Tamandua tetradactyla: one gene and its partners. The protein of the gene in region 3 purifies or fractionates together with the protein of the main gene of each other region. This does not show direct contact. Links are inferred from orthologs where the notes say so. Each region holds a gene or a part of one and is shown on either strand. Other genes may lie near its edges. The genes, in order: BAZ2A, BPTF, SMARCA5 and CHRAC1.

The links.
Region 1: the proteins of SMARCA5 (region 3) and BAZ2A purify together in Homo sapiens (affinity purification with western blotting; 3 studies listed by BioGRID and IntAct, with this or other methods). This does not show direct contact. The link is inferred for Tamandua tetradactyla from reciprocal best matches to the Homo sapiens genes SMARCA5 and BAZ2A.
Region 2: the proteins of SMARCA5 (region 3) and BPTF purify together in Homo sapiens (affinity purification with mass spectrometry; 4 studies listed by BioGRID and IntAct, with this or other methods). This does not show direct contact. The link is inferred for Tamandua tetradactyla from reciprocal best matches to the Homo sapiens genes SMARCA5 and BPTF.
Region 4: the proteins of SMARCA5 (region 3) and CHRAC1 fractionate together in Homo sapiens (co-fractionation; 5 studies listed by BioGRID and IntAct, with this or other methods). This does not show direct contact. The link is inferred for Tamandua tetradactyla from reciprocal best matches to the Homo sapiens genes SMARCA5 and CHRAC1.

What each region holds. Positions count from the first base shown.
Region 1 is NC_135333.1:123,696,839-123,704,811, forward strand, and holds the start of BAZ2A (bromodomain adjacent to zinc finger domain protein 2A), read right to left. Parts: upstream 3,077-7,973; 5' UTR 2,817-3,076; coding exon 2,762-2,816; intron 1-2,761. UniProt on the Homo sapiens protein: Regulatory subunit of the ATP-dependent NoRC-1 and NoRC-5 ISWI chromatin remodeling complexes, which form ordered nucleosome arrays on chromatin and facilitate access to DNA during DNA-templated processes such as DNA replication, transcription, and repair.
Region 2 is NC_135332.1:6,280,653-6,288,250, forward strand, and holds the start of BPTF (nucleosome-remodeling factor subunit BPTF), read right to left. Parts: upstream 3,185-7,598; coding exon 2,554-3,184; intron 1-2,553. UniProt on the Homo sapiens protein: Regulatory subunit of the ATP-dependent NURF-1 and NURF-5 ISWI chromatin remodeling complexes, which form ordered nucleosome arrays on chromatin and facilitate access to DNA during DNA-templated processes such as DNA replication, transcription, and repair.
Region 3 is NC_135348.1:24,143,576-24,151,256, forward strand, and holds the start of SMARCA5 (SWI/SNF-related matrix-associated actin-dependent regulator of chromatin subfamily A member 5), read right to left. Parts: upstream 3,520-7,681; 5' UTR 3,263-3,519; intron 3,240-3,262; exon of another isoform or gene 3,038-3,239; 5' UTR 2,976-3,037; intron 2,782-2,975; 5' UTR 2,742-2,781; coding exon 2,565-2,741; intron 891-2,564; exon of another isoform or gene 868-890; intron 1-867. UniProt on the Homo sapiens protein: ATPase that possesses intrinsic ATP-dependent nucleosome-remodeling activity.
Region 4 is NC_135332.1:87,004,848-87,013,368, forward strand, and holds CHRAC1 (chromatin accessibility complex protein 1), read right to left. Parts: upstream 3,535-8,521; 5' UTR 3,406-3,534; coding exon 3,259-3,405; intron 1,663-3,258; coding exon 1,536-1,662; intron 884-1,535; coding exon 765-883; 3' UTR 232-764; downstream 1-231. UniProt on the Homo sapiens protein: Forms a complex with DNA polymerase epsilon subunit POLE3 and binds naked DNA, which is then incorporated into chromatin, aided by the nucleosome remodeling activity of ISWI/SNF2H and ACF1.

The DNA of each region.
Region 1 (7,973 bases), on a different chromosome or scaffold from region 3:
TCTTTCAGCTCCGATATTTCTCAGAATTTCAGGTCAACACTTAAGGATGCCAACTTTTCCTCCAAGAAGATACTCATCCCCACCACTACCACAAAAAAACTGAGCTGGGCAAGGATCCTATTAGTGAAGCAGGTTATAGAGAGTCAAATTCCAGAAGACCAAAAGTAGTGAGACTACCTGTCTCTTAAGAATCCTTGTTTTACTTTTTTTCTGACCAATTTTTTAAAGATTACATTATCCTTCAGTTTGCAAAATTCCTTTAGTAATTATTCCTTATAACTAGGGAAAGCATAAAACAGTAAGCCAATGCTACTTTTACAGTCAGTAAACCAGTCCTAGAACAATTTCTATAACTCTTCAATGGAGAAAGGTTTTTTGTTTTGCAGAATTTTATAAATTTCAAAATTATACAGACTGACAAGCTGGTGAAACATGTCCTTCTGACCATGTGCAACAATGCTGAGAAAGTATTAATCTTTCTCATCTCATTTGAGGACACCCATACCTCACGAAAAAAAAAAAATCAGGAAGATTATTTGTCCTAGCAAATACCTTGAGTTTTATACATAAATAATACTAATAATGTTATATATAACATATATATAAAGATTCATGCTCTAGTCTATGTCCTAGTACATAACTTGGGTCTTATTGCCTCACTTTGCACATCTCACGCAATGCCAAATCTCACAGCAATTATTGACTGACTTCCATATTAGTCTGACAGTGAAAAAAAAAATAACAGTTTAATACTTGACCTCTTCAGAGGTGACAAGATTGGTCAAGCAGCCAAACACAGTCAATAACCCTAACAAACTTTGCTTCTCTCCTGGTAACACGTGATTTCAGAACCACAAGACTGCAAGATGAGCCTCTCAAGGTGTTCTAGATTTCTGACTAGCTCTGAGGTCAGCCCATGAAGTTCTCCCTGTACCTCAATTTTTTTCCTTCAGGGATTGAAAAAAAAAAAAAAGGACCAGTTAAGATTAAGAAATCCATTTCTCTGGTATAGAAATGCAGACATTTACACAAAGGTCATGAGAGATTTGCTTCATTCACCAATCAAATGAAGTCAGTATCTACTTTCTCAAAATCAGCTTCTATTTCTTTCGAGTTCAAAGAAAAAAGGGTGGTCCATTCTCCTTTCCTCACTCTTTTAACACTTAATGGAAAAACAAGTTACTATTCTGTGAGCCCTGACTTAGGTGAGGAAAAAATTTACAATCAGCATGGAATCAACCTTCTATCATAAAGCAATTCAACGGAACCAAACAGTCAAGCAGAGGAGCAAGAAAAAGCTGATATCAGACTTTGTATTCACTGTTTACAGAATATTAGCAACTTAACATACCCAGTAAAAAGAACAATGATGATATCTTAACAGTGAAGATGTCACTATCAATCACATTTGTTTATCTGTTTCTGTCCTGGACCTTTACTCTAGGGATCTACATCCAGGAGAGTGGTTTGTGATACGAAAATACTAAAATAATGATTTAAATGCTAGGCCTAAGCAGCTTTCAAGCTACTTCAAATGAAATCGCTACTTCATCTCACAAAATCTAAAATCCTATGGCCCACTCTTGTCCTTAACCAAAATGTCTTGAGACACAGTACACACATCATCACCGAATGTGCCAACAGAAATCTCCTAGAGTTATCAGGTGGGAGAAAGATTAAATCCGGACACATGACTTTACAAAGAACATAGGAAAAACTTACTTCTCTCTAAGAAGACTAATAAGGGGGAAGATGTATTTTATGGACTAAAGGGTAAATCATATGATAGCCAATTCTCCTGTACTAATTAGTTGGTTCTTCAGAACCTTCTACCTAAGTCAACCAATAGGCTTCCCAGAGGAACTGTCTCTCAGGAATGACCCCACCACCCTCACACTAACTCACTATGCCAACACACAAATCCTCTTCTCAGTCAAATCTTCCCCACCCTCTTCCACCTCTCAGAATCTACCCTTCTTTACTGCATAAGCTGACTTGCTCAGGTGTTCTACAATACGGAAACTGCCATGCTTAAGAACATTCTGAGGATCTCAAGAAGCCACTCATACCATACCACAAAAGATCCCAAGTCTTGTATGCTGAGGGAATTTTCATCACTTGAATTGAGAGTGTACCCCTGCTGGTGATAAGTGAGTTTGCTTCTCTATGACCTCTAGCGCAAGGGAGAAAAAAAAAAACCCAGACAGGGAGACAGAGATGCTTGGAAGGGGATCAGGATCAGTGAGTCAACTGCAGCGACTACTTCCAGTTGACAAATTAAGTTTATAAAAAAAAAAGTCCAATGAAAGGACTCTCAGACTACACGGTGGGCAAGATCGAGGCTTGCCCAAAAGGCCCCAGAAAATGAAACTAAATCTGATTAAAATGGACATTTCAAAACAAGAGACGCAGCAGCGAACGCACAGCTGCCATTTCCCGGCCACTTCCTGCGGGAGGCTGGGGGAGGGGCTGTTTGTGTACAGATGGAGGTGGAAGCTATCCCCCTACCACCCCCCGAAGGACGCAAATCCCTCACTCCAGCAAACCCTACAAAGGATAACTGCTATTGGCGTTGTACGCTTCTGAAAACTCGGAATTCCAGAAAAGAAAGGGATGATGTGAGATCATCTTCTCTGCCACGGAAATGGGGATCCCCTTAGTGAGGAATCCCCTTGGAAAGGGATCCCTCTTTATTCTTCCCTTCAGCCCCTAAACCCAGCTCCAAATTCAAACGCCTCAGAATCAGCCCTACAACCCTTACCCAAGAGTGTAGGATTCTCCCCGAATGCGCCGGATCTCTGCCCATGCACAACCATCCCAGTAAGGCCTCTCTCTGGCTCACCACGCCGAAGAGAACGTGTGCTCCCTTCAAGGAAGACACTCTCAGATGCCCTACTCCCCACAAACCGAGTGTTTAACCCTCCCAGGGATCCCCTCGCATTCGGACAGTCCCCACCCCCACTCGAGGAGGTGGAGCCCCTCCCGGGGATTCCACCCCGAGTCCTCCACAGGAGTCATCTCCACCAGACAGGCAGCTTCGCCGCCTCCTCCTCGTCGTCGTCGCCGCCGCCAGGAGCCCCCACAGCTCCTCCCGCCCGCGCAGCCCCGTCACGGGTCCTCAGCAGACCCACCAGCGTCCCCCCCTCTCCCGGGGGCAAGGAGACTCCCGCACGCAGCAGGGTCTTAACTGAAAATAAGCCGCAGGCAGTGATCAAGCCAGCTCCGGAACCACCGTTTCCAGAGGGAAGCCTCAGATGAAAACGGGGATCTCTCCCCTCAGGCCCCCGGGATAGACCCCACAGACCTGAGGTGGCGGCTACAGTCGGGCTCGGGGCTCGTCTCTCCCCGGGGGACGGTCGGTTCACATGGCCTCGCTCCGGGCGCCTGGAGGGGAGGGGACGCCCGCAGGGAAGGGGACAGGGTCCGGGAAGGGGGAGGGGGACGCGGCTCAACCGCGGGGCCCAAGCGGAGCCAACATGGCCGGCGGGGAGGAGGGAGCGGGAGCCGGAGGGGGCGGGGAAGCTGCGGCCCAGAGAGCCGCCCTCTGCTGCCTCCGCCTCCGGGTCCTAGCGCCCAGAATTCTGTCTTCTCCGACCCGGATCTGGGTCCTAGCGCCACTGAGTCTCCTGCCATCCGGCCACCCCTGTCCACCTGCCTTTCATCGCAGGCGGTGGTCCTGCTTCACACAAGGCAAGACGAAAGCCATGCATGGTCCCAAGGTTAACCTAAAAGACTAGGTCAAATTTCTAGGACCAAAGGCATGTGCCATTCCTTTAATAGGCGAGAGGTGGGTGGGGGCGGGGGTCTGGAAGATAATTTCGGGTGCAGTTATTCCCAGGCTGGGAAAGTGGAAAAGCAGAAGTGTGAAAGCGGGAAGGTTAGTCAGGACGATTCAGTCCTGATAAAGGGGTGGAGCAAGGCAGCGAGCCTGTGGTATCTGCTACCCACTCACCTCTGTCCCGTGGGGGCAACCTGGTACTGCCTGGATCACCACTTTCCCGGTGACATCTGCAGGGCCCTTGGCGTTGGGGAGATTCCTGTGAGTGGGAAGAGGAGGCTTGGCTCTGGAATCAAATAGTGAAGACTCAAGTCTGGCCTAAACATGGTCAGAGGGCCAGGAGATAAGAGGAAAACTGACCAGCAATACATGCCCCAAATGTCCACCTATTCTTCTGAAGGCTCTAGTTGCAGTACTTTTTCTGATAAAGTTATATGTGATAGGGTCATATGACACTGTGAAACCTTCTGAAAACAGGAGAGGAAAATCAGGCAGAAGATCAGAGTTTGGTTGTCATCTGCTATGTCTCTTACATTCAGGGCCCCAGGATGGAAGTGCCATATATTAGAGCTTAGAGAATTTCTAGCAACCTTCTCTTGTTACCAGATGAAGAAATTAAGTGCAGAGAACGACTGACCTGTTTGAGGTCAAACAGTGGATAAAAATGTGACTAGAAACCAGGTTTCCATTCCTTGCAGTTCAACAGACCTCAATATAATTCCCATTCAGTTCAGTGCAATGCATTTCTACAAACCACTGCCTAAACTGTGCAAAGCTCAGGCTGAATATTCTGGAAGAGCAACAGACAAAGCCAGGATGAGAACCTCGGGCAGATAGGGGGCACAGGGGGGGATGATTAACATATACCTTTTCCTCTGGAGGTTTGGGAAGGAAAGAGATCTGAAGACCAGGTGGTGACAGGGCAGAGAAAGGCCAAAGCCAGCAGTCTAGATTGGATTATTCCACAGAGGGATGGGTCCTTCCTGTGCTTGGGGGACAGACTCCATTCCCCCACTACAGATACTCAATAGCTTCAGCAAAGCCTCACAAAAGGTGTGGGCCAGAGAGACAAGGGGAAGGGGGCTTTCTTTCCCTCTACTAAGATTTCCAGGGGAAGTATACAGGTAGGTAAACCAAAAGCCTCTCTCCTCCCTGTCAAAAGAAAGGTTTATAGGTCACCTTGGAGAATAAGTAAAGACCCCCAACAGCCTGCTAACCTCAAGTACCTGGGTGGGTAGAGGCTACACTCAGAGGGAGCAGAGTCTTCCTTCTGGAGAAAGGAGGGATCCAGCAACCTTCTGATAAGGAAGGCCTTCTCCCATCCCCTAAATAAAGGCAGATGGAGAAGAGAGCTCAGGACATAGAACTGATTCCTGAAGGGCAGAGAAAGAGAGCTGCTATCCAATGTTTTTCTTTTCCTTTTCCCTCTCATAGGAGGGAGAATCTTCCTACCTCCCACTCCCAATCATAGGGCTGGGGAGTGGGATACTGAGCAAGCAGGGTAGGAGCCTGTGTCAGTCAGATGGGTATAGCCACGCCCATTGTCCCCTCCCCCACAGACACACACCCACCGGCTGGCCGACTCCTCTCTGCTCCGGAAGAGCCGGTTACTCCTGTGCCCCACAGACTGCCCCCACCCTTTCCGAGCCCCAGGCCTTATCTCCAGGGCAACCCCTAGGTCTATTCCAGCCAGGAGAGGGTCACCTGGGATCAGAAAAGAAATTGGGCCTGGATCTGTTCTTCCCATCCACAGCAGAATCATATTCATCCCAGCTAAACAGGGATCTTCCTTGATCTTTGAGGAGAGATGAGAGTGGGGTACCAATACGCCCAAAAGCTGGGTGTTTACTTGCCAGAAGCCACCTCAGGCAGCAGCTGTGCTTCTCCTTCTATCCAGACAACAGAGGGCAGACATTCCTCAGTCCATCAGATGCAGCCACTCACCCCTGTCCCTACCACTCCCCCACCCCCAGGAAGCTACTAGAAAAGGAAAGGGGCAAATGGTCATTTTTCAGCAACTTGTGAGAAGAATGTCTAGGGAATAGATGGAACCTCTGTCAAGCCAGGCCAGTGGGAAGATAATGAGAACAAGGAGGGAAAAATTAGCACCTGCTCCCCTTTCTCACCCTCCCTGTGTCCCTGCTGTACCACCCTGACTCTGGGGTCAGCTGCCACAGTGCCTGGCTCCACTCTGGAGCCAGATGGCAGGGACTGGGAGGGGGAAGAGAAAGAAAGAAAGAGAGGGAGAAAAGAGATTTGTTTGCATCCCTCTACCTCTCTCCTTCTCCCCCTCCAGACACTTCTGGCATCCAACCCACAACCCCACTGCTGACCACCCTCTCCTCCTCTTAGTTCCCCCCCCCCCAGCCCCATCAAACAAGACTCAGAAGAGTGAAGCAAATCCTGATGACCTGTCCCCCAATTCTGAAGGTGGAGAGTGGAAAAAGAGAGTACAAGAGAAAGAACAGTTAAGGTTACAGCTGGACTTGGAAAGGGGGAAGGAAATCCCCAATGGCCTTGGGGTAATTATTAAAGCCCTCTATCCCTACCACCTCCTCCCCCAATGGATCACATTATTAATAATGTTTATTAGATTACCCTCAGCCCTGAAATCATTCCAAATGATCCCTTTCTCTCCCCAGGTTAGTCTCTTACCTCTTTATATTTTGGGTTGGCTAGATTCTCCCATCTAAAGGACCCTAACCTCTCCCTTCTCCTCCCTCCAAGGGCATAAGTGCCCCCTTGGATTCACACCCCAGTCTGTTGCTGAACTCCCTTAATAGGCTTCTCTATGGTGGTTCAAATACAGGATGGAGAAAGCCCCAAATTCCCACCCCCAGGTCTACAACACAAGCTTCTTCAATAGCATCTTAAACCCAGAATCACAAGAATCTGGCAGAGACACATACATCCTACTCTGGGGAAAAGAGTGTTCCTAGGCTGGACTGGCCTACCCGGGGCCCAAGAAGTGGGCCCTTCCCAGCAGAGCAGGGCTTGGTTGGAGGGTACCAAGGTCAGACCCCCAAATTCCGGAAGGGGCTGGAATGGGATAAGGCTACGGGAATGCTTTAGATGGGATTTAGATGAACTTGGGCTGGGCGGAGCGCGGCCGGAAAATGATTGTACTTTACGCCGGGCCCCCCTTACTACGGAGAAGGAGGGGAGTTGGGGTGGCAGTTACTCCTCCTCCCATTGGAGGTTAGGATGGCGTGGGAAAGCGCTAGTTCCAGAGGCGAGGAGGCGAAATCTAGACCGCGGGAGATTTTTCTGGCGAGGGGGAGGGGAGATCCAGGGCTGAGAATAGGAGGAATACCCGGGAAAGGATCGCAGGGACGCGTGAGAAGCCTCGGAATTCCGGTCGCGGAGGACTGGGGAGAAATGGTCGAATAGATAGTGAGGGGGAGCGAGGAGGGGCAACTCCGGCGGAGAGAGGATCAGATCCTGAATGTCGGGCCAGGGGACTGCGGGAGCGGCCCGCTCGGGCACCTCGGGGCCGGAGGTGGGTGCTGGGCCTCACCTGGGTCAGGGCCGGGCCGCGGGCGCGGCGGTGACGGCGCAGGTGGCCGAGCCGGGCGGCGGCAGTGGCGCCTCCTCCCCCAGCCCCGGCCGGCGGCGGCGGCGGTGGAGGGGGGCGGGGGAGGAGAGGTGGTGCTTAAAGGGGCAGGAGCTGCTGGGGTGAGGACGGGCGCTCGGGAAGACCTATCTTGAAGGATCCGCTGGGGGAGGGGGAAGCGGGTGGCGTCTCCTAGAGGCCAGAACCAGGAAGGATCCCAGATGGAGGAAAAGAACAGATCCCAGGAAGAGACAGAAACTTCTGCGGGAAGGTGGGGCGGGTTAGAGGTAGGTCTGAACTGAACACGGGAGAGCTCTACCAGCGCTCCCGGGGCACCCGCGAAGACCTCTTCACAACGCAGGGCCGGGAAGGCGGTGAGAGCCACGAGGACGCCGCCGAGGGCATCAGGTGCTGGAAAGGGTACTCTCCCTGCTGTGGGCCAGGCACGGCCTCTTACTAGGTGAACAGGTTCCCCATGTTTCAGCTCCTCGGCGTCCCAACTCTGCAGCTGTGAAAAGGCACAGCCTCCTTCCCCCAACGCTGCCCAAGTTTAAAAGCCTCTGAAAGCCACGAGAGTAAAGATCTCCAAGTGCTCTCAATCTCAAGCCTACCCCTCACTCAGTGACTTCATAGTTTGGAGGG
Region 2 (7,598 bases), on a different chromosome or scaffold from region 3:
AGCCTAAACAATTCACTTGTCAAGCTTTATTACTTATTCTACATAAGTGGACATATTCTAAAAGTTTAGAACAAATCATATCATCCATTTTACTACAATCTTGAGAAATGTGTTTCAAAAGACAAGACAAGACATCCAACAAGCTAATACCACACACAACCTCTAAGGAAAGGAAAGTGCCTGGCAAGTAATACAAAATAGAAGCTCAAACATATTAATCCACTGTAGAATTATCAAAACTTCATCTATTACAAACTCTCACCTACTAGCAATCATGTATCCAACCAGTCTTTGAGGAGCACCTGCTATGTGTAAGACACTGTAATAGAAGCTGTAGGGGATACAGGATGGACACCTAACCTTAAAGAGTTAATAATTTTATACAGAGTTAGGACAAGCATACAAAGGTTGACTGCAAGAATCATAAAGAAAAAGAACTGAGGGATGCAGTGGTAGAATTCTCACCTGTCATGTGGGAGACCCATGTTTGATTAACGGCCCATGCACCACCCCTCCAAAAAAAAAAAAAAGTTGTGAACAAAACTCCCTATGATATACATATCACATATCTGCTTCTCTGTGTGTATGTATAGAAAAGAAATATATGTATATAGGGAGACACATTTAAAAAAGAAAACGTATCGTAAATACAGATTTTTTTTAAAAGAAAACCTAACCACAAACTGTAATTTAAAACAATAAATTCACAGCCACCAATCCTAAATACTCTTTACTAGGCCTTCAAATGGGATTTAAAGTTAGCTGAACTGCCCTGTCACAATGCCATCACTCTGTCTAATCTGGAAAAACGTCTTCCAATAGTGCAATTCAGTTTGTATGTGGTTCATTCAAATCCGGACTCTGGGTAGAAAGAAAATCAACATGCGATTTCTTAAAGTAAAAACTATCACAATAAAAGATGTACTAAAATTAAGTAGGCAAGAAATGAAAAATTACCTGCAGTCCTTACATACAAAAGACATAAATACTTGACATTATTTTATTCATTTCCTTCATTCTCCTGCTTGCTCCCCATCAAAAAAGACAGATATTCCCATTGTTAAGCAAAATAAATTACCTTTTTCCATTAGATGTTGAGATAACCTCAATGAGTTTACATCTGACTTAACGCTTACATCTGACACTCCTCAACAATTATTTAGCCATTTATTAAAAAAATGGAAACATTTAAGTTTAATCACTTCTACTCTAGTGTTTCTTTTAAAAACAGATGACACACCTTAATTACTTTTCTACGTTCCTCATATGTCCTCATAAATTTTACTTTGTAAAATGCTCTTAAAACTAGGATCTAATTTCCTTAAACTAGATAAACAAAAATATAATGAAAAGGGAGAAACTCTTGTAGGTTTTTGCTACAAACTACGTTGGGTTTTTTTTTCACAATTTAGTAATCTGCAACTACGTTATTTAATACAAAGCAGCAATTGTGTGTCTGCATGTTTTAACAAAATGCATTTTAGCACCAGCCTACAGAAACTCTGTGAGAAAACAGGGGAGGAGTCACCATAGAGAAGCTCAATACAGATCCAGGGTGGAGTTTTATTCAGAAATAAAGCGAAAAGAAAAGGTCACTTTATAATAAATCCCTCGATATATCTGCTTTGAGAGTTTCAAGTTGGTTCAAAAGTTGGTCCAAAAGTTCATCTTCAGCAATGATCTGGATGATCAACTACACATTTTCTGCAACAGGTGATGGGAATCTGCATTTTCCAAAGCAAAGCAAGCAAGAACAAATTAAAAGCATGCTCCTGCAGTTTTTTACTTTTATTTTGGATTTCACCAAAATGATTTTGAATCAGGTGAATTACTAAATTTGGTTTCGTTTCACTTAGCTTTCTGCTTTGCGTTTTTTCATCAGCCATTTACCAGCAACTGTTGCACGAGCCTGTTAACACTCAAAGAATAAAAACGACATACAGGACCAGATAAGGCTTCCTTATTAACCCAACTGATCTATTTCCTTAGTACAATTTTTAAACCACACATCTAGGGGTGTGAAGGGAAGTGTGTTTTGGATGTGTGTGTGCGCGCCCCATCTTAAAAACGGGATCCTTAATCCCCTTTCTAAGGAGCAGATATATAATAAATATCTACAAGAAACCACATTAGAAATGCAAAGAGGTTTGCAAAACAAGAGGCTTCTTTCATTCCAAAAAACCAAACCAAAACAAGGAGAGAAAATGAATGCAATGGATATGTGTGCCAAAGTTTCAATCCTGCCCGGTGGAGACACTGCACTGGCACCAATTGTGAAGAGAAAAAAAAGAGGGAGTGGGGGGTAGAAAGAGAGAGCGAGAGTGTGGCCTGCAAACTGCAACAATGCAATCTCCATTTTGAACAATGCGCCTCTTTCCTCTTGCAAATCTAGTTTTTTGCCACTTGATGTGCCGTCGCATTTCCCCTGTTTGGGGGGAGGTGGGGGTAGGGGGAGGCCGGAGCAGGATGCACAGTACATGAGAGGGAGTGAACAAGGGGGGGAGGGTAGGGGAGGTGGGGAAAGAGTCTGCAGCAACTGGGCTGGGTGGGTACCTGGAGTGCTGCTATAGGTGCTATGGCTCCTGAAGCTGCTTTCCGTGCAATAACTGGCGTCGTCGTCGTCGTCTTCCATCTCCTCCGGATAATCGGAATCATCGTCGTCCTCCTCCATCTCATCTTCCTCATCGTCTTCGGAATCCTGGGTTTCCTCAGCGTCGCCGTCCTCCTCCTCCTCCTCGGAGACCATGTCCTCCTCCTCCTCCTCCTCCTCGCTCTCGTGGTCATCGTACACCACTTTGTTGACGGCCCTGCGGGCCGGGGTGGTCCGGGCCAGGTGGCCGCCGCCGCCCCCGCCCCCCGTCCTGCCGCCCCCGCCTCCTCGCCCCCCCCGGCCCGGGGCGCTGGTGCTGGGGGGGGCCGGTGGCGGCGGCGGTGGCGGCGGCGGCGGCGGCGGCTTCCTCCGGCTACTGCTGCCCCCCCTGGGCGAGCTCAGCCGCGTCTTGGGCGCCACCTCAGCCTGGGCGGCGGCCCACCTGCCCCGGCTGCTGCCGCGGTGCCGCGAGCGGAGCCCCCCGATGGGTCCGGACGTGGGCGGCGGCGGCGGCGGCGGCGGCGGGGCCGGAGCGCAGCGCTCCGCAGCGGGAGCCGCGGGCTGCTTGGGCGGCCTGCCCCGCCGGCCCCTCATGTCGGAGCCGAGGCGGGGGGGAGAAGGGAAAGCGGAGGGGGGAGGGGCGGGCGGAGGGGCGGCGGTGGGGGGCGCCGGGGCCGGGTGGGGAGGCCCGCGGGGCCGGGCGGGAGGGGCCGGGCCGGCGGAAGCGGGTGGAGGGAGAAGGCTCAATCCGAATTGCTGGGGCCCCACTCCGGATCGCCTTCAGCCGCCATCTTGTTTCTTCCCTCTCGCTCGGTGACTGGGGGAACCGACAGCGGCCGCAGGCCCGGAGCACGGTCACGTGAGCTGCGCCGCCGACGAGCCTGGGACGGAGCGAGGCCGCGCGGCGGCCGCTAGGGGGAGTGCGGGAGCTCCGAGGCGGGGGCGGGGAGCCCAGGGCGCCTCTGCGCGGTGGTGCCGGAGAGAGGGGCGCCCCTGTCGGGAAATGCCCCCTGCAAAAAAAAGCGTCGGGAGATCAAAGCTTGGATGGAGTTCAGACGGACCCCAGACTTGGCAAATCCTCCTTCCCGCGGCTCCCCGCGCCCAGCGCGGAGGGGAAAGCCGGGGAGACACAAAATTCATCTGAAACTGATGCTGAGGCAGCCGGAGAGGGAGGGTGTCGCGGAGGGGGCGACCCGAGCGACCGAAGGGGACAACGCAGCGCTGGCGGCGTAGGGGAGTTAACTGGGGGCGGGAGGACGAGCCCCCAGAAATATGAAACTCCGAAGGCTTGGTTCTGGAGTGCTGAAATTGATCCCAGTGGCAACTGCTCCGGGTCGCCGCCAGGAACCACGCCCTGGGAAAGTCGCTCAGAGGCTTGTCGCGTATAATCACATCCCGGAAAGCCTCGGACAAACTCCAGAGCGCAACTACGTTCCAGTCTCCCACACCGCTTCCAGTGCCCCAACTAGAAACTCCACCACTTTAACGAGAACTTTCCTGTTTCTCGTTTACGGTAGAAAGGACGGCGTCCCTCCTGACACCTACCTCAAAGTGTTGTGTTTGCATTCTAGAGAAATCATTTTAATTTCTTTACCTCATCAGTCACCAAGTCTCAAATAGCCCAGGGAATGAATCATGCTGATGTATTTTCAGGCTCCGCTAGACCAAATCAGGGTCAGCCCTGGAGGTAAGAGAAAGGTTTTATAAACATAAGTTAATATTTATGGAAATACATTACATAGAAAAATGACAAAGAAAAATGGGGTCCGGCCACCAAATAGTTTACGAAGCAATTGGAAAAAATAGAACACAGGTAAAATGGTAATTGAAGAAATGCAAGTGCTAATTGCCAAATTTGTTCCGTACAATTTGGTTGAGTACCAAGGGTCACAAATTTATATGTCTACAGGAACCAGGTAGGTAATAAAAGTAAACAAAATGGGCTAAGTGAAGATTTTGGCAACCTGGAGTACCTGTGTTTTGTTGAAAAAGAGGGCAACTACAGAAGGCAGGCGAGATCTTAAAATTGTTCAAAGAAGGTGGAAATGTGGACTTCATATGAAATCTCTTGATTGTTGAATGTTAGCAACTAAGTCAATTTTTAAAAACACTTCAGACCAATCAAAATAGATGCAGACCAGGAATAACCCAGGGTCTACAAGTTTGTAGTCGGTATTCTGTACTATGAAAAGGACAGTTTGGGGAAGACAAACATGATAGAAATAGTGACACCTTTGGAGTTTACAATCTAGTAACCAATTTACAAAAAAATTACAATAGATGGCACAGTGAGAGCTAGTTTTGTATCACTTGGAGTTTTTAGTTGCAAGCAACAGAAATCGACTCTGGTTTATTGAAATAGAAAAGAAATTCATGAGAAGGATGTGGGCATCTCCACAATTGCCAATTCCGAGTAGAAATGGAATCGAAGTTCTCAAGCTGTTAACTTCCAGTGTCTCAGTAACAATGTGTTCCGTGAGCTATTCTGCTGTTCCATAAAGCCAGCTGTTTCTGGTTGTCAGGGTGCACTTGTTGGGCTAGTGAATCTAAACAGGCAGCCAATTTCTTTATCTCTTTAACTATAAAGTTAATTCCTTGATCAGATGCCATGATGCATAAGATATCACGATGGTGAATAAGGTATTCAATAAGTCCATATAGGGTGATGGGAAAAGTTTGACTGACAGGAAGAGAAACCTAAACTCAGTATAACCTCTTCTCAGTGTGTCTCCCTTACTGGCCCCTCCACGATAGAAAGAGTTCATTATATTGATTTCTTCTAACATGAGTACTCAACAGTGGCAATAGCCAGGTCAGCCTTGCAGAAAGGAAGTGTTGTATTGAACACAGCACAACCTGAGTTGTGGCTTCCATGGCCTCTTTGTTCAGGACTCTGGTCCTGAACAGACAAGCACTGGTTTGACTAGGGAAGAGGCTTGATGTACATTCACAGGGCGGATCTCCTCATCTACCAACTTATTAAAGCTTCCTTAGTAGTGTGGGCATTTTGATAAGCATTCATATGAGACACAAAAACTCTCGCTCTCTAAATCTTTTCTGAGAGATTCATTTATGTCCTGTCTCTCAAACTGCCTTGTCCCCAATCCGCTCAGTCCCTAACTACTTAGCCAAAGAGAAACTGTCCTCAAATTCATGTAGCGTCTTCCTTTTTTTAGGCGAAGAGAATCACAAGAAGTACAATTCAAAGTTTTGCCCACTAAGAAGATTTCCTTTTGCTACCATCCAAGACCATTTGCAAGTATAGTTAAAACACCTTAGCTGTCCACTTCCAGCTGATACCATTTGTGAAACAGTCTCAAATGGTGTTTTTCCTTGTCATCTGGTCATGGGGATCCTTCCACAAGACTATGGTTGCGGGGTGTGGTGGTGGTGAGATGGGAGTAAACACACTGGGGCTTACACTCCTAGGCCTTCTCTGGAACCTGCTCTGGCCTGCTTTTCTATACCATGCTAGAATGCTACTAGCATGGGATGGGAGTGCTACTGGGCACTTTTTGGCTAAGTGGGACAGATAATTCATGATAAGCAGCACAGGTTAACATGGTCTCATAGTACACCCGTAGTCAGGCTTTTGACCGCAGGGCCTATGAGTAGAGTCAGAGCAGCTTCCAAAAAGGAAACTATTTATCAGCTGAAGAGAGCAAGACTTTGCTCCAAAATCCTAAGCATTGCTATAGTGATGCTCCTTTTAGAGCTTTCCATGGGCTCTGTACAGCATCCCAATATGAGGCTGTACACAAAGCACCGATAAATCCATTGGGTCATTAGGATCAATTAGCAGAGCTCCTTGCACTGCAGCCTGTAACTGATAATGAACCTACTGCTCTGGGCTGCCCTCAACGTTGGCAAGCATTCAGGCCACTTTGAAAATGGTTTAAAGCAACACATACAAATGTCTTCTAAATCCAAAGACAGCTGCCAGACATCCGGTACCATTGGCAGAAACCACGCCCTCACACAGTCCTCAAATTCCTCACACCCGTTATATGCTCACGTAGTCCACTAAAGACTTGCTTTCAATTCCAAGTGATACAGGTGATTTTGTTGAGTTGTTTTCCCACTGTTAGCTATGAGCTCTCAAAGGCTCATACCTTAATACTAGAAGTATTTTCTCTATCATCACTCTCAAAACACAGTCATAGACCAGTCCCACCCCATTTCCCCAAAAGTCCGTGGCCTGCAATCACTCTTGCACCAATTTTGTTATCAGTTGGGTTCTTAGTTGCAAGCAGCAGACACCAGCACCCCATTCTTTAAGCTCAGAGAATCTCTGAAAATCCCTGAAAACCAGGCTGTGAGGCTATGCAGTCAGGAAGTATACAAAATCAGGCTAGAGAACTGGACCTGTGAACACAGCATGACTTTGGCTCCCTGCCATGAGACCCGGCTTGCCCTGCTGACACTGCCAAACTGCAGTGGCCACTGCTTCAGAGTAGTGCTAGCTTTCAGTTAAAAGGTTGAGGTGGTATCGTTATGCCTAGGAGTTACTTCCAGAGGACCTCTTTTGTTGCTCAGATGTGACATCTCTCTCTCTAAGCCCAACTGCTAGAAAAATCATTACCACCCCCCACTCCTACATGGGCTATAATACCCAGGGGTGAAAGTCTCCCTAGCAATGTGGGATCTCCCAGGGATGAGCCTGGCCCTGGCACTGTGGGATTGACAACACCTTCCTGACCAAAATGGGGGAAAGAATTGTAACAAAATAAGGTATCAAGGGCTGAGAGTTCAAATAGAGTCAAGAGGCTATTCTGGAGACTACTCTTACATAAGCTTTGGCTAATTACCATGGTTTGCCAAACCCCAACCAACGTCATTCCTGCCAACCTTAAAGAACACCTAGGGCTCTATCTGAGATTCTGCAAAGATTCCATGCACTATGATTACTTTCCAGAAACCTACAATTTCCAAATGGGTTCCTAGACTGTATAAGTCCTGAAATCCAGAGGGGGGCAGCCTTTTAAATCATCAGCTAGTTCCATCCCCC
Region 3 (7,681 bases):
CATAGCCTCTTCACAAAATGCTGCTAGAATACCATGAAATGTATACACTCTTAGGAAAAAAAAAAAGTTTTTCCAACATTCATTATTTCTCATAGTAAAAAAGAAAATTGGACACCAGGCCTCTCGAGGCCATACCATTACAGGCATTTAGTGTGCCTATCTACCAGTCCAGTCAATAGTGAGCAATCAGGATGAATGAAGACAGGCTCCACATTAACAAGATCATATTAATTAATAAAAAAGTAAGACTGCTCTCTTGACTATCAGTACCAAACCAAACAAAACAAAAAAAAAATTATTGAATTAGCTAGCAAGGCTGATACTTCCAGGAAAGTTAGCTTTGTCACAAAAAAAGCTCATGAAAACAGAGCTTCATTTATTTCCTGATTTCAGAAAAAAGGACCTTAAAACCTATTTTAAGACAAAATAAAAAGGTTTGTAAAAATGTTTCTTTTTTTTTTAAATCTATCCTCAGATAATGTGTGTATGCTCAAACCCTTTCGTGTAAGACTGAGGGTACATTTAATTTAGAAAGATGAAAGACACCATAATGTGACAGAAAAAAAAAAAAAAAATCTAGTCAATGAAAAGATAGATTGAGAAAAGATAAAATTACTGATATTTTCATACTGAGAAGGTAAAAAAAAAAAACCCAGGCAGGCCACGGTGGCTCAGTGGTAGAGTTCTCGCCTGCCATGGCGGAGACTGGGGTGTGATTCCCAGTGTTTGCCCATGTAAAAAAAAAAAAACTAAAACCGTGTCATTCTGCAGTAAATGAAATTGCTAAACATCATTTGTATAAGAATGTGACACGGAAAGATGTGGGGAAAAACAATCAGCTTTGAAGTCAGGCCTGGGTTCACTTACAGGTTCTAGTTAAAAAAGACTCAGTTTCTTCATCTGGCAAACACGACTCCACACAGCAACTGTTGTTATCATCATACCAAACACCTATTTAAAATTTAATTAAGCTTTAATTTTAAAACAGCAAATCAAAGCCACAATAATTAGCTTTAAATTACACTGCTTTCTGATATTTAAGACCTCTAGTGAAACATTTTTACATTATTCCAAGGCTGAATGAGGGACTTTTTCGAGAAGCTGATGAAAACTATGAATATCTTTTCGAACATCTCTTCGCAGAGAGTTGCACATTCACACACAATTTTGCTTTCAGTATCACATTTTTTAAGCCCTCTTACCCATGGGGCAGTAACCTAAGTTAAATAGCCCTAGTAACCCAAAAGAACCACAAACCTTAAGGGAAAAAAGGCAATAGCAGATACATTTTTATTTTAAATTAATGTCAATCACTGAAAACTACGTAACATTAGATCTCCTATTCCACTGAAACTCATCCTCAACACTAAAAGTACTTTCAAAGATTAATAACAAAAGATGTTATATCACCCTAGATTAGATCCTTGCTGCTCAAATAAAACTACTGGCCAAGTGCCTTCTTGGTAAACTGTGCTACCATTTTCTCAGCCTGCTGATTCTGCATCAAAATTTTCATAGCAACACTAACTTCATTTCGTCTAAGAATGGAAAAATCACAGATAATCTTTGAGCTGAATATCGAAAATATCTCAAAACAGGTTGAAGACCACGAACAAAAACTGGAAGGGCCAATCACTGTTCCCAACCATAGAAAAACCTTGAAGCATCTCCCAGAGAACCACCTAGTAGCAACACTGTCTTTCCACCCCCACAGTACAGTCGTCACCCACCTGAGCAACCCAATCCCACAGGGTGCAGTGCGCTGTACTAATTAAAGACAAAAAAAAAAAAAATGTCAAGGCCCAGAAAGACGTACGCTGGATGGAAAGCCAAATAACGGACCTTAATTCACTAATTCATTCATCAACTCCCACCGAAAATTAGACAGCGATCCCAAGACAGCAGCTGCTGCTGCCTTGGCCACATCCCTCCCGGCGGAAAAGGGCCTGGGAGGGACCTCGTGTCACTTCAGAGGAGCAGCTGTGTCCCGTTTATCCCCACTGCGCAGAGGGCCATCCAGCCCTCGCCATTGTTTCTTTACGAACAGATACCGCCCCCGCAAGGACTGGATGAAAGAGGCCCGAGAGCTCGCATGCGCTGCTTTTAAATGCCTTCCATTCAGAAACAGTCTTTCCCTCACTTTTAAGGGGCACCTCCCTCGCTCCTCCCCCAAGTTTGGTGGAAACTAAATCCTACATTCAAGGATGGGCAGGGGAATTATGGGAGTCTAATGGGGCTACAACACGGGTGGGTAACTCTCACTTGACCACAGTAATCAAGCACATCTGTTTAATAAGGGCATTAGAGGATTTGGCAAGATCTACTAAAAAAGACAATTATAATGTGAAGTGCCAAAAACCATCTGAATCTGCTTGGACAGGTGACAGAGCGTAATAACGAGAAAGCATCATTTCAGATACAAAAGGCCTAAGGCCGAATTTGGTGCAGAGGGGTGAAGTATGACTCTGTGTCTATCACTGAACTCAAGGCGAAGGAACCAGCTTCTCGCCACTGCCTTCCCGCCCTCTCTCGCGCTGCAAGCTGTTCCCACCTTCCTCACTCACCTCCATCTCCGCGTCGGCAGGACCTGCGCTGGCCACCAAGGGAGCCACCTGGGACACGACACCCTCCAGACAGCCTTTGTTGCTGTTGTTGCTCCCGCCGCTGGCGGCGGAGACTGTGGTCTTGGAAGGCGCGCTCTCGAGAGGCGGGGGTGGCGGAGGCTCGGCCGCGGACGACATGATGTTCCGTCTGCGTCACCCGCTGCTGCCAGAGGCCGGCCTGGCAGGGATGGAGGGAGAGGCCTAGGTAGGCCTGGGTGGCTACGTCGCAGTGAGCTGATGGAAGAGCAAGAACCCGATTTCCCGCCCCCCACCCCCACCCCCGCCGCGGCTCCGAAACGGGCCTGAGGCGGACGCAGCAGGTTCTTCCTCCGCGTCCTCCTCAGCGGCGCTCGGTGTTCGACGCGGGCTTACCTCACGGCGGGAATCTCGTCGGCGAGAATGGGCGGGGCCAGCCGGGTCACCAAGGTCAGGGGCTGATGTAGAGGAAGGCCGAAGGTTATGGAACCACGAAGGAAAGAGAAGAGAGACTGAAATGGGGTAGCAGCTTCGCCTCCTCCTCTAATACCTCTGGCGAATATCACCTAACTCACCAGAAACCAGGATCTACTACCTACGCCACCGACTTTCAACACTCGCGAGAGTGCTGGTTGGCTGACTGGGGCCCGGTTGCGCATGCGTGTTCCGTCCCTCACGCTTACCCACTCCTCCCGAATCTTAAGCATGCTCTGGAGCGCGGAGTGGGTGGGACCTCGAGGGAGACCAGAGAGGCTGGGAGAGATGTGAACCCAGGGTTTCTGTGTCGGCTACTCGGCATGACGTGAAAGCAGTTTTATACGTGTTCGTAACGGTTCACCGGCCTTGGATTCGCTGTCTTCTCGGCCTGGCCGGCGTCGGCGGCATTCCCTGAAGACTTGCCGACTTCGCGCTGTGTACTTGGAGGTCTGTCCTGGGCCTTAACGCTTTTGCCGCCTCCGACAAGCGCGTGACGTCACTGTGACGACGATACGGTTATCTTGAATGAAGTCTCTTTTTTTGTTGTGGTCTTGTTGTTGTTGGCGAAATGTCCGTTACAAAGGTATTTTTGGTTAGTCTTCACACATTAGCTGCATCAGTCATTTCTGAATACCCCCTACTTCCTTTTGGTGTAAGGGTATACGATTTTTCCTCTGAATTCCCATGCTAAAAGTAAGCAGATAAGTTGCGTGCGCACACCGTTAGGTGAGGAACATGCGTATCCAATAGAAGAAAACAGACGAGCGAAGGGTTGTATCTTTTCCTCATCACCAAACGTTTAATTAAAATGTGCATTCTCTTTTCCTTACAAAGTTGTGTTGAATTTTCGGCACTGTAATTCTTTGTGTAAACTGCTTTGTGCATCCACAAATGCCTAAAGGTTTGTGCATCCATCTATTATACAGAATTTAAGCACATTATGTTCTATTTGATAACAAAACTGCGTGATACGCTAGATTATTATCTGCCCTTTCAGGTGTCTTATTCATGTCCGTATCCCCGTGTCCACTGTTCACTCAGTATTTATTGGATAAAGAAGACAAAATTTTCAAGAGTTAAGGTTGAACCACCTGGTTGATTATGTTGAATTTCAAACAGAAGGATTTTCTTTTGAATATCCTGCAACCATTTTAGCTAATTGAACAATAATTCTTTGAGAGCTAAAAAAATGTCCTCAGCCCATCAAAAATGCCATTTCTGATTTTAAAACTATTGGGCATCCAAAACCGAATTGTTGGTCTTTAACAGCCATTGACATTGAAGAAGAATAGCGTTCATTAAACAGTGTTAACCGAAAAAAAAATCAAGTCAAAAATGTAGAAAAAGATGTAGATTAAAAGATTAGAAGGCTATGCGTAAAAGTATTCAAAATGATTGTCACTGGTATATTTTTTGAATTACTTTTTACTTGACTATGTTTTCTGATTTTTCTAAAATGAATTTGCATTATGATTGTATTGAGAAAACTCACTTTTAATTTTAAAAAATGTTAATTCAAAAAAAAAGTTTGTGAGGGGAGAATGAGAAAATAGTGTCTACGATGTTACCTGACACACAGACTTCAATTATTTGTTGAATAAGTACTTGTTTAATATTTACATTCTTATGTAAAAGGAATACAGTATTAATATTCAGAATATTTACTTAGTCTTTACAGTTGTCTTAGGTAAAAATCTTGGGTCCTGATTTGGAAACCCTAAAATTATACGTAAGTATTTAAATGAAAGGGTCTTAAGTGTGGTAACTTTTTAAGGAAACCAGTAAATAAAATTGCCCAAAAAGTGACAGTAGTTATTTAATATGTACATTAGTACTGTGGGTTTTTCATATGAGCATATGAACGCTGTAAAAGAATCTTGTTAGGGGAAATTATGGAGAACAAATACTTAAAAGAAACTAAGGAGAGGAGACAAAACATTGTAAATCACTAATCTAACATAAGGGACAGAGAAACAGATTTTGAGCAGAGCCTTAAATACAGAGACAGAGAGGGGAGAGGTCTACCAAAAAGAGAGAATGCCTAGAAATAGGATTTAGAAACATAAGCTGGGTTAGGCAGATAGCAGTACTTACATGGTGGTGAAATCACCATGTAGATTCTTCTAAAATTAAAAGGCTAAAGCTAAGAGCTAGTCCTGGAATTGACAGTATAATGTAGAATTTAATGTATGGTAAAAAGTAGAAAATGGGGAGTCAGGCTCTGGAACTTAGCAGCTGTGTGACTGCAGGCAAGTTATTCAGCATTTCTGAAATTAGTTTTCTCTTTCCTCAGATTGGAATAATATTCTTATAATGTTGTCATAAGGATTAAATTATGTAGTGCATGTAGGTGCTTAACACCGTGCCTGGCAGATAGTGTGTTATGATTTCAGGTGTGAGGTATTCTTATTCTGAAGAACCATAAACCTACAGATCAGGGCCTAGGTGGAGGAAGAGGAACTTAATGGCTTTTTGAAAGAAATAGAGGGGAATGATGGCAAGAAAACCCTAGAAAGAACTAGTGTTTTAACCATGTTCAAGGAACTGTGTACTACAATGTAAAACCATCTTAGTGTTCTCTCTCAAATATGCAGCATATATTGTTTACACATGAAACTCCTTCTATGAAGACCTCTTTTGTAGCTCAGATGTGGTCTCTCTCTCTCTCTAAGCCCAACTCTGCAAGTAAAATCATCCCTACTGCATGGAACATGACATCCAGGGGTGAAAGTCTCCCTGACAGTGTGGAATATGATTCCCAGGAATGAGACTGCCTTCCTGACCAAAAGGAGGGAAAGAATTGTAACAAATAAGGTATCAGTGGTCAAGACAGTACAAATCAAGAGGCCACTCTGGAGACTGCTCTTACGCAGGCTTCAGCTAGACATTGCTATTTATCATAGCGTGCCAAACCCCAATTAAAACCATCCCTGCCAACCATAAAGAACATCTAGGACTTTATCTGAGATTCTACAAAGGCTCCATGCGCTATAGTTACTTTCCAGAAATCTGCAGCCTCCAGATGGGTTCCTAAGCTAGAAAAGTCCTGAAACTCAGTGAGGCCATCGTCTCCAGAATATGAATTAATACCATCCGCCTAGCCCATATTATCAACAGCCCTTTCCAATATGAAAAAGTTAAAATGGGCATAGCCCAAATACCCCTAGAGATTGGGAGAAAGATCAAGGAGAAGTTGGAGTTACAACAGAGAAGATAGGATTTAACCAATGAATATGACTGCTGAATCATTATATTGATATTTCTTTTAGTCTCCAATGTCTTGGAGCAACTAGAAGGAAAAACCTAAAGTTGTAGAACCGTTACCCATACCCAACTCTGAAATCTGTTTTCTAACTAATTGTTGCAGTGTGCTTTAAAGTTTTCTGCTTTTTTGCATATGTGCTATTTTTCAGAATAAAAGTTTTAAAACATAGGGGTGCAAGGGTAGTTCGGTGGTAGAATTCTCACCTGCCATGCAGGAGACCTGGGTTTGATTCCAGGCTCATGCACTCCCGCCATACCCCCAAAAACAAAATTTCAGCGAATGGTGCTGCAATAACGTGATAGTCACATGGAAAAAGAATGAAATGTGACCCCTACCATACAGCATAAAAAAATTTTTTTAAACAAAATACCCTCTGTGAAACTTAGTATGTTAGAACAGCATGTGCAGTATTGAAATAGGATGTAACAAAGAGATGTTGCTGGAGGATAAAAGGTGCCAGATAGCCAGGAGCTTTTTGGTTTTGATCGGTAACAGAAACTTTAAGTTTCAAGGAAAAGGTAGTAGTGCTGCACTAATCTTCACTGCACACTCATTTTAGTTTGTAAAAGTCTAGGAAAATAAAGTCTGGTTATTACATGACAACAATAAAACAGCACTGGGTTTTTATCTAAGAATGGGAAATTACCAATGTTCTTAGATAATTGTGTGTGTATCCTTTCCTCACTTCTCCTGTATAGGTCATTTGCCAAATAATTTGGGGATTTACTTTCAGCTAACGAAAAACATTAACTATACTCTTAATAAATTAAGGTTAGTAAAGTTTAAATACATGCCCCTTACATTTGGTCAACTCACATCATGGTGTGATTTTGTACGTTAGGTTTATATACGCATATTTCACTACCTTTTAAATTTGTATTTTCCTCACTATAACTTAAAATTCCATTTCTTTGTGCATTTCATTACTGCTTGTTAAATACAATTTTTCTTTATCGAATTGGTTCTTGGGGAAATACTTCCAAAAAACCCAAATATTATGATCCAAAGTTGTAACTGCTCTGCCCAAAGCTTTATAGGTTAACTGACAATTATGAAGCAACTTTCTTTAATAAAACTCAAAGTAAATAAGAATCTAGCACTCAACTAACTGTAGCCAAAGCTACAATTAAGAAATTAATGGTTTCTTTGTACACAAATTTTGTTTGCTGTTACTTATAAAAATACAGAAATTGTAATTTAAAACTCATAATGAACATCTGGCTTCTAGTAATGGAAAAAATAGCTTGCTCCTATCAAATCATTGGATGGCAACTATGAACTCTAGAAAAATATTTTTAAAAACTACCTGGTGACAGTGAAAGCAAAGGGAAAAAAGTCATCAGAGATTGGAGGGGAATTT
Region 4 (8,521 bases), on a different chromosome or scaffold from region 3:
AAAATAGGGCTTATGGCCTTCTCTTGTGGACAGTAAAAACAACTGAGTATTTAAAAAAGAACAATAAGATGAAATATCTTTAATACACAAAATGTTTTTTAAGAACAATATGCTTATGAAAAAAATTTTTTGTAGTTGATAATTTTGACAGGATTTTTCTCTAGGAGTAAGAGTGATTGAAACATTTAAAAATCTTCCAAGACGTTAGAACAAGAGAGGACAACAGAGCAATAACTCCACAAAATACTTTACTGTAAAAATATATACAGAGCTTTAACAGAAAAGTATTATTACTTTATGGTAAAAGGGGGGTCAATATTTGAACAAATAGGAAAACAAACCTTGAAATGCAAAAATTCAAATTTAATGTACTGCCCCAAAACTATACATTTAGCTAAAACTGAGTCTTAGTTGTTTATCAGAACTAATTTCAAAATATACATATAAGAATTTATACAACTGATACTTAGAAAGTCTTCAAAATCCATCTGTCAATTAAAAAGCAAAGCTGCCTTTGCTGGTGATGACTGGGACCCTCTGTCAGAGACGCTGCTGTTGGGCTCCTCTGCCTTTGGCTGCTTACAGAGTGGGTGCATTAGATGCCCTCCCTTAACAGGGAAAGAATAGGAAAGAACACAGTCTACCTGAAGTTTCTGAAAAGTGGAGAGACGAAAGTCCCACAGGCTTTTTGGCTTCCTGGAGAGCAGTGCTGCTAATCCAGAAGGGTCCTCACCAGGCTGATTTTTAAAGCATTTATTTTTTGTTTAGGATTCGGCTTCATCGTCACTTTCGTTATCATTGTCCTCCTCCTCCTCGTCTTCTTCCCTCTTCTCTTTAAGCATTTTCAGGTATTTACTAGCTAAAATCTTCTTTGGCAATATATCTTAAAAACATAAAGCTTACGTCAGCAATTGGTTATGGTATTCATATGGATATGAATACATCGATGCAAATTTCAAAATGTCCTAGTTCCTGCACTGACCTCTAGAATAGGTCTCAAAACAGGACAATTGAGGCTATGTTTGTAGGTGAAACATCAGAGAAACTAGCACTGCCTCCTGACTGGTGCCAATGACCTGTTTCTAGCACATACCCTGGTGTTTCTCTATGCTGATGACCCTGCCCAACCTACCTGAGATGGGCTGGGTGGACCCAAAGGCAGACTTAAGCTCTTTTTAGCTACAGTCCTGTTACCCAGCAGCAAATATTATTTTCCCTGTTCTGGAACTCAGAACACCATACTGAGTATCCCTTTCCATAGCAGGGTGGATCCTGAGGGGGTGGGGTCTGCTAGGCTCACCCACCCGGCGAGCCACACATTCTTGTGCAGACTGTTGACTCCATTATTGGTCTAGAACCACATAACAAACATATTCAAACAGAAGACTGAAAACGTCTTCTTGTGCCAGGTCATGGTAAACTTTGGCACCTGGAGAAAGCACCAAAACGTCTATTTCAGTGAAAGCAGAACAGGAAAAAAAAAAGCTGTAAATTACTAAGCATTTTTTAACCAGAATGTTTCAAAGGCTAAATACCTTCAAGAAACTGAAAAGTTTCCGATCCCTCTGCGGTAGTTGATAAATCACTGTAAGTCAGTGCTTTCTTTTCTTTTCCACTGCCATGTTTGTAGGAATAGGTGGCAAGATACTGAACAAAGAGTTCCTTAAACAAAACAAAAAAGTAAAATGAAAGTAAGCTTTGAAAACTTATTATAGATAAAATTTAACTTTTTAATTACATTAAGTTTAGATGACTGAAAATTACTTTGGTTTCTCAAATTCAATTATAGGAAATCACTGGGGAAAAGAGAAACATGAGGTCAGAAAGAACGCAAGACCCTATCAAAGTTAATGGGGAAGCAGGCACTTCCTGAAAATTTAGTTTACATTTCTAACTTACAAAAAATATTTAGAAGTGATTAAGTGATGAATCATAAACGTTTAATGACCAATCTCTACACCTAAAGGAAGGAGCATGAGACATTCAAAAAGTGTTTGGGTCAAGGACACATTTTTAGTCATCTATCTAAATGCACTGTTTCTACCGGCTTACTAGATCTATAATAAAGTCAGCAACTTGAAGCTCAAAACTGGCACATCCTCATTTTGCCTAAACCATTTTCCTTATGCCAGGAACACATACATAATCCACAGACTGACCTAAAGCAACAATCTGAACTGAACCTCTCTCCCTCAGTTTTTATTTCGTATATTTTAATTCATCTAGTTCGTTTAATAAGGGATTAAAGAAATGCCTGCCTAAATCTTGGCTCCTTAATACTAACAGATGAAATTGTACAAGAAAACATCGAAATCCCAATATTACATGTGGAATGTGCAAATATTTTCCTGGGCTCTGAGTAATTACGGCTCTGGCAAAAAACAGGTACGAAACTTGTGGTTTCCCTCCCCCGCCTCTCAGCTCTAGTCCAGCATACTGTAGGGACACCGTGTCCCGAGCCAGAGGGACTGGAAATAGGAAGTAAGGCAAGTTAAGGCAATTAATACTACAGCTGAGGCACGGCCCAGCCTCCGAACAGGAAGTGTTCGGAGACCACAAGCAGCTCATCTATTTTTCACGGAATAGAGCACTAGGATAAATTGTAAAATTAAGCTGTGGGATGTTCTGCCTAGGAGATGTGGGGTGATCTGGGGAGCAGGTAGGCTCCCAGAACTCGCTGCTCGCTCCGTCTCTGATTCCGGGCGGCAAGAAAGTTTCAATTATTTACTTTTTAGTTTCTCTCCCAGAGGACTTGCGTTCTGGGGGCCGGCTCAATGGAATATGCCAGAGGACCGCCCAAGCGCGCCGCCACGGTACGAGAAAGGGTTCGCGGGCATTTCACGGATGTTTAGGGGGAGGTGGGGCTCCAGAACCGTGGAACAGAGCGGACACCGGCAAGTAACAGCTCTGCGGCTCGGAATACCCGGACACGAGAAGGCCCAGGGCCCAAGAAACCCGGGAGCGCGGTGGGCGGGGCGCTGGCGGGAGGGCACGGGAGGGCGCGCGACGGAGGGTGGCAGCCCCGCGGGCTGAGCTGGGCGCAGCTGGGAAGGGCGTGGGCGGAGCGTGCGGGCACCGGGGCGCGCGCCGGCGGGTGCAGAGGCAACTTGGAGAGGCGCGCGAGCCCGCGCAAAGAAGCTGGCGGCGCGCGGGCCGAAGAGAACCGGACAGCACAGCGGGACCCAGCGGGGCGGGGCGCGGCGGTTAGGGGGCGGTCTCCACCCCCGCCTCTCACTCCTTCCCCGCACGCAGCCTCACCGTAGCCTTGGCTGTGAGCACCAACGCCTCCTGGTTAATGCTGGACACCTCGGGAGAACTCTTCATGATGACCCGGATGCGGGACAGGGGCAGCGACACCAGCCGTTGCTCTCCGCATTTCTCTTTACCAACGACCACATCCGCCATCTTCCCGCCCCCTCCCCGCAGGCGGTAACCGCGGCTGACCCAACCGCGAGGCACGCCGCCTCCGCCGCGAGCGACGTGGCTGGCAAACAAAGTTGGGGCCGCGGAGCCGGCGTCCCGCTGCCCCGTGGGAGTTGTAGTGTCGGGGAGGTGCGGAACGGGAGCGGACTACAGGCTCCGTGATGCTCCGCGCCCGCCGCGCCTCTGCGCCTGCGCGGACTGTGCCTGCGGAGCGTCCGCGGACGCGCCTGGACCTTCCCCTTTGGGGCTCTCCCGCGTTCCTCACGGCTGGTGGTCGAGCGCGGGGATGGCGTGCCCGCAGCCAGAGAGCGCCCGCCAGCGCCTGGAGTACGCGGGGGCGAGTCTGGAGCCTGCTCACGGGACAGGCCCTGAACGGAGGGGTGAGAGGCACTTTTACAGGAGCCAGGGCGGAATCCTGGGCTTTACTCTAGAAGGAGCTGTGGGGGCGGGGTGTTCACCCCTCTCAGGAACCCGAGGGGAGGCAGGGTGCTGCCGACCCCGATTTGAACGCCAAGTAAGAGTTGTGCCAGTAGGTGAGGATAGGTTTCAAACCCCGGTTCTTAGCAGCGCATTTCCTAAAGCTTACATTGTAGAGTAAAAGACAGAAAATAAACGAATATATAATATACTGTCAGGTAGTGAGAATTACCATGAAAGAAAACGAAGCCGTGCCAGCAGACACACTAACGGGGAATACTGTCTTATCCAGGGTGGTGGGGAAGGCTTACCGGCTGGGGAAGAGAGAAGGCAAGCCCTAGCAATGTCTGAGAAAGCGCTTTCCTGGGAGAAGGAACAACAAATGCGAAGCCCCTGAGGTGGGAGTTAACCTTTTAATGATGCGAAGAGAGACCACCGCAGGTGTGCTAAATGTGATCCCAGAAGTAGTCAGGGTCTAGACTCTGTCCTTTTTTTTTTTTTTTTTCTTACATGGGCAGGCACCGGGAATTGAACCTGGGTCTCTGGCATGGCAGGTGAGAGCCCCACCACTGAGCCAAGGTTGCTTGCTCCCTGTTGGATTTCATTCTAAGAAAAATGGGAAACTGGTGCAGAGTTTTATTACATGAATGATGGTTATGGCTTAAGTTACAGAAGGATTCCTCTGTTCATACTGAGCTGTTTTTTATAACCTGGTCATTCCCAGAAACGTTATGTGACACCTGAGTATTTATGTATTTATGTGACACCTGAGTCTCAAAATTAGAGCTCTGAAACTATGAAAACCAGCAGTATCCTATTCAGGAATTGTTTTAAAAAGTTGGAAAACGGGTCTGACTTCCAGCAGAGCTATGAATGAAGCAGATCTGGATAGGACTGAGGTAGATCAGGATATAGGGTAAAGAATAATATCGTCCATATTTTAAAACTTCAACTTCTGTTTGAGACCAAAGGGAGAGATGTTTATTTTGCGCAAAATTTATATTTGGGTAGTGCATTTCCTAATTTCACTTGTATGGTCAGCTTAATTGAGCACAGTGAGTACATGGACTCTTGACTAGAGTGTGATTATGGGTTTGTCGGGGTTAGTATGATGCCCCCAGTATATCCCAGAGTAACTTGGGCAGTGAATAAAGAAGTATTTGCAAGACCACCCCCTCTTGGGGCACTGGGGAAAAAGGAGGAAATACTCAACTTGCCATTTGAAGTGTTTCTGATATTCTCGCAAGCGGTGGAGACAACCAAATCAATAGTCTTGAGCCCTCAATCTTGGGGTTCAACCCTATGAAACTTATCACTGCCAAAGGATAGGTTAAGCCTACCTAAAATTAGGCCTAACAAAGTTCCTTGATGGATAGGAGAAAAAATATGGAAATATTTAAATTTACCATCAGGGAATCCCCTGATACTGTGTCAAACTTTAGGGACACCCAAATCGACAAGACAACCCCTTGATCTTGCGGCTTACTCTTGTAAAGCTTGTGTAGGTAGCAGAGAAGCTTAGCCTACCTATAGGTATGTCTAAAAGTAACTTCTGAAAGACCTCTTTTGTTGCTCAGATGTGGCCTCACTCTAAGCCCAACCCTGCAAATGAAGTCATTGCCCTCCCCACTACATGGGATATGACATCTAGGGGTGAAAGTCTCCCTGGCAGCGTGAGAGATGACTCCCAGGGATTAATCTGGCCCTGGCACCATGGGATCAACAATTCCATCTTGACGAAAAAGGGGAAAAGAAGTGTAACTAATAAAGTGTCAGTGGCTGGGAGAGTTCAAATAGAGTCAAGAGGCTGCCCTGGAGGTTGATCTTACACAAGCTTCAGTTAGACCTTGCTATGTATTGTAACCTGCCAACCCCCAACCAGGACCATTCCAGCCAATCCTAAAGAACACCTAGGGCAATATATAAGATCCACAAGGGATCCATGCACTAGAGTAACTTCCCAGAAACCTACAACCTCCAGATGGGTCCCTGGTCCAAATAAGTCCTGAAACTTAGCCCAGCCTCTCCGGAATATCAGATAGTTCCATCTCCCTATCCCATATTAGTGACAGACCTTTCCAATATAAAAAATTTAGAATTGCCATAGCCCAAACACCCGTAAAGAGAGATATGGAAAGATCAAAGGTTGATTGTGGAGTTATACAGTGAAGATAGGATTTAACAAATGAACATGAATGCTGAATCATTAAATTGATATCTTTCAGTCTCCAGTATTTTAGAGCAGCTAGAAGTAAAAACCTAAAATTGTGAACTTGTAACCCATGTCAAACTTTGAAATATGTTCTACAACTAATTGTGGCGCTGTACTTTGAAATTTATAGCTTTTTTGGATATATATTATTTTCACAAAAAAAAAAGAAGGAAAAAAAGTCGATTGTGATGATAAAAATATATTTAAGCCCTCTAATCTCCTATGTTCTGGAGCAGCTAGAAGGAAAAATATGAGAGGATCGTATGGTAGCCCATGACAAACTCTGGGATCTGTCCTGTAACTACTTCTTGAAGAGTGCTTTGAAAACTATTGCTTTTTTATTTTTTTGCTTGCTTCATATATTTGTTATACTATGCAATTAAAAAAGTTTAAAAAAGGAAAAAGGGGCAGAGAGAAATGAGATAAAAAGTGTCAGTGGCTGAGAGATTTCAAACAGTCAAGAGGTTATCCTAAAGGTTATTCTTATGCATTATATAGATATCCCTTTATATGGATATGTATTGGAGTGGCTGGAGGGAAGCATCTGAAACTGTAGGGCTGTGTTCCAGTAGCCTTGTTTCTTGAAGATGATTGTATAATCATATAGCTTTTACAATGTGACTGGGTGATTGTGAAAACCTTGTGTTTGCTTGTCCTTTTATTTAGGCTATGGAAAGATGAGTAAAAAATATAGATAAAAAATCAACAAATAATAGGAGGGACAAAGGTTAAAATGAATTGGTAGATGGAAATACTAGTGGTCAATGAGAGGGAGGGGTAAGGCATATGGTATGTATGAGTTTTTTTTTCATTTCTTTTTCTGGAGTGATGCAAATGTTCTAAGAAAAGATCACGGTGGTGAATACACAACTATGTGATATTGTGGGCCATTGATTGTGCACCATATAAGGAATGTTTGTATGTTTGTATCTTAAGATTTATCAATAAATATGTTTATATATATATATATATATATATATATGAAAAAAGGATTTCTCGCTCTTTCTCCGCCGGCGGCGCTCCCACCGCCAGCCAGCCCTCCTCTCCCTCTTTCTCCGCCGGCGGCGCTCCCGCCGCCATCCAGCCTTCCTCTTCCCCCTTCTCCGCCGGCGGCGCTCCCGCCACCATCTTACCCTTCTCTATCCCCTTCTGCTCCGGCGGCGCTCCATCCGCCATCTTATCCTTCCCTTTCTCCTCCTACTGCGGCGGCTGGCGCCCTCCCGCCACGCTTGGCGCCTCGGGCCGACTAGGAAATTCGGACGGGCGTTCTCCCAGGCTGCGGCGGCCGGCGACTCTCCCCGCGTTCGGACCCCCAAACCGGCTGGCACTCTTCCAATCCACTTCGGCTGGCAAACCACCCAATGGTGAGAGTTTTCCAAAGTTAAAGGACCCACAGCACCTTTTACTGGTGGAGCCCGCAGACAAACGTGTGCCACGAGCGCCACCTACTGGGCAGGATAAGAAAAACAGAACCCAGAGATTTCACAGAACAATCTTTCAACCTGTTGGGTCCAACACCCAGGGAAATCTGACTAAATGCCCAGACGTCAGCAGAAGATAATGGATCACGCTCAGAAAATTGAAAATATGGCCCAGTCAAAGGAACAAACCAATAGTTCAAATGAGATACAGGAGCTGAAACAACTAATGCTGAATATACGAACAGAAATGGAAAACCTCTTCAAAAATGAAATCGATAAATTGAGGGAGGACATGAAGAAGACATGGGCTGAACAAAAAGAAGAAATAGAAAAACTGAAAAAACAAATCACAGAGCTTATGGAAGTGAAGGATAAAGTAGAAAAGATGGAGAAAACAATGGATACCTACAATGATAGATTTAAAGAGACAGAAGATAGAATTAGTGATTTGGAGGATGGAACATCTGAATTCCAAAAACAAACAGAAACTATCCGGAAAAGAATGGAAAAATTTGAGCAGGGGATCAGGGAACTCAAGGACAATATGAACCGCACAAATATACATGCTGTGGGTGTCCCAGAAGGAGAAGAGAAGGGAAAAGGAGGAGAAAAACTAATGGAAGAAATTTTCACTGAAAATTTCCCAACTCTTATGAAAGACCTAAAATGACAGATCCAAGAAGTGCAGCGCACCCCAAAGAGATTAGACCCAAATAGGCGTTCTCCAAGACACTTACTGGTTAGAATGTCAGAGGTCAAAGAGAAAGAGAGGATCTTGAAAGCAGCAAGAGAAAAACAATCCATCACATACAAGGGAAACCCAATAAGACTATGTGTAGTTTTCTCAGCAGAAACCATGGAAGTTAGAAGACAGTGGGATGATATATTTAAAATACTAAAAGAGAAAAACTGCCAACCAAGACTCCTATATCCAGCAAAATTGTCCTTCAAAAATGAGGGAGAAATTAAAGCATTCTCAGACAAAAAGTCACTGAGAGAATTTGTGACCAAGAGACCAGCTCTGCAAGAAATACTAAAGGGAGCACTA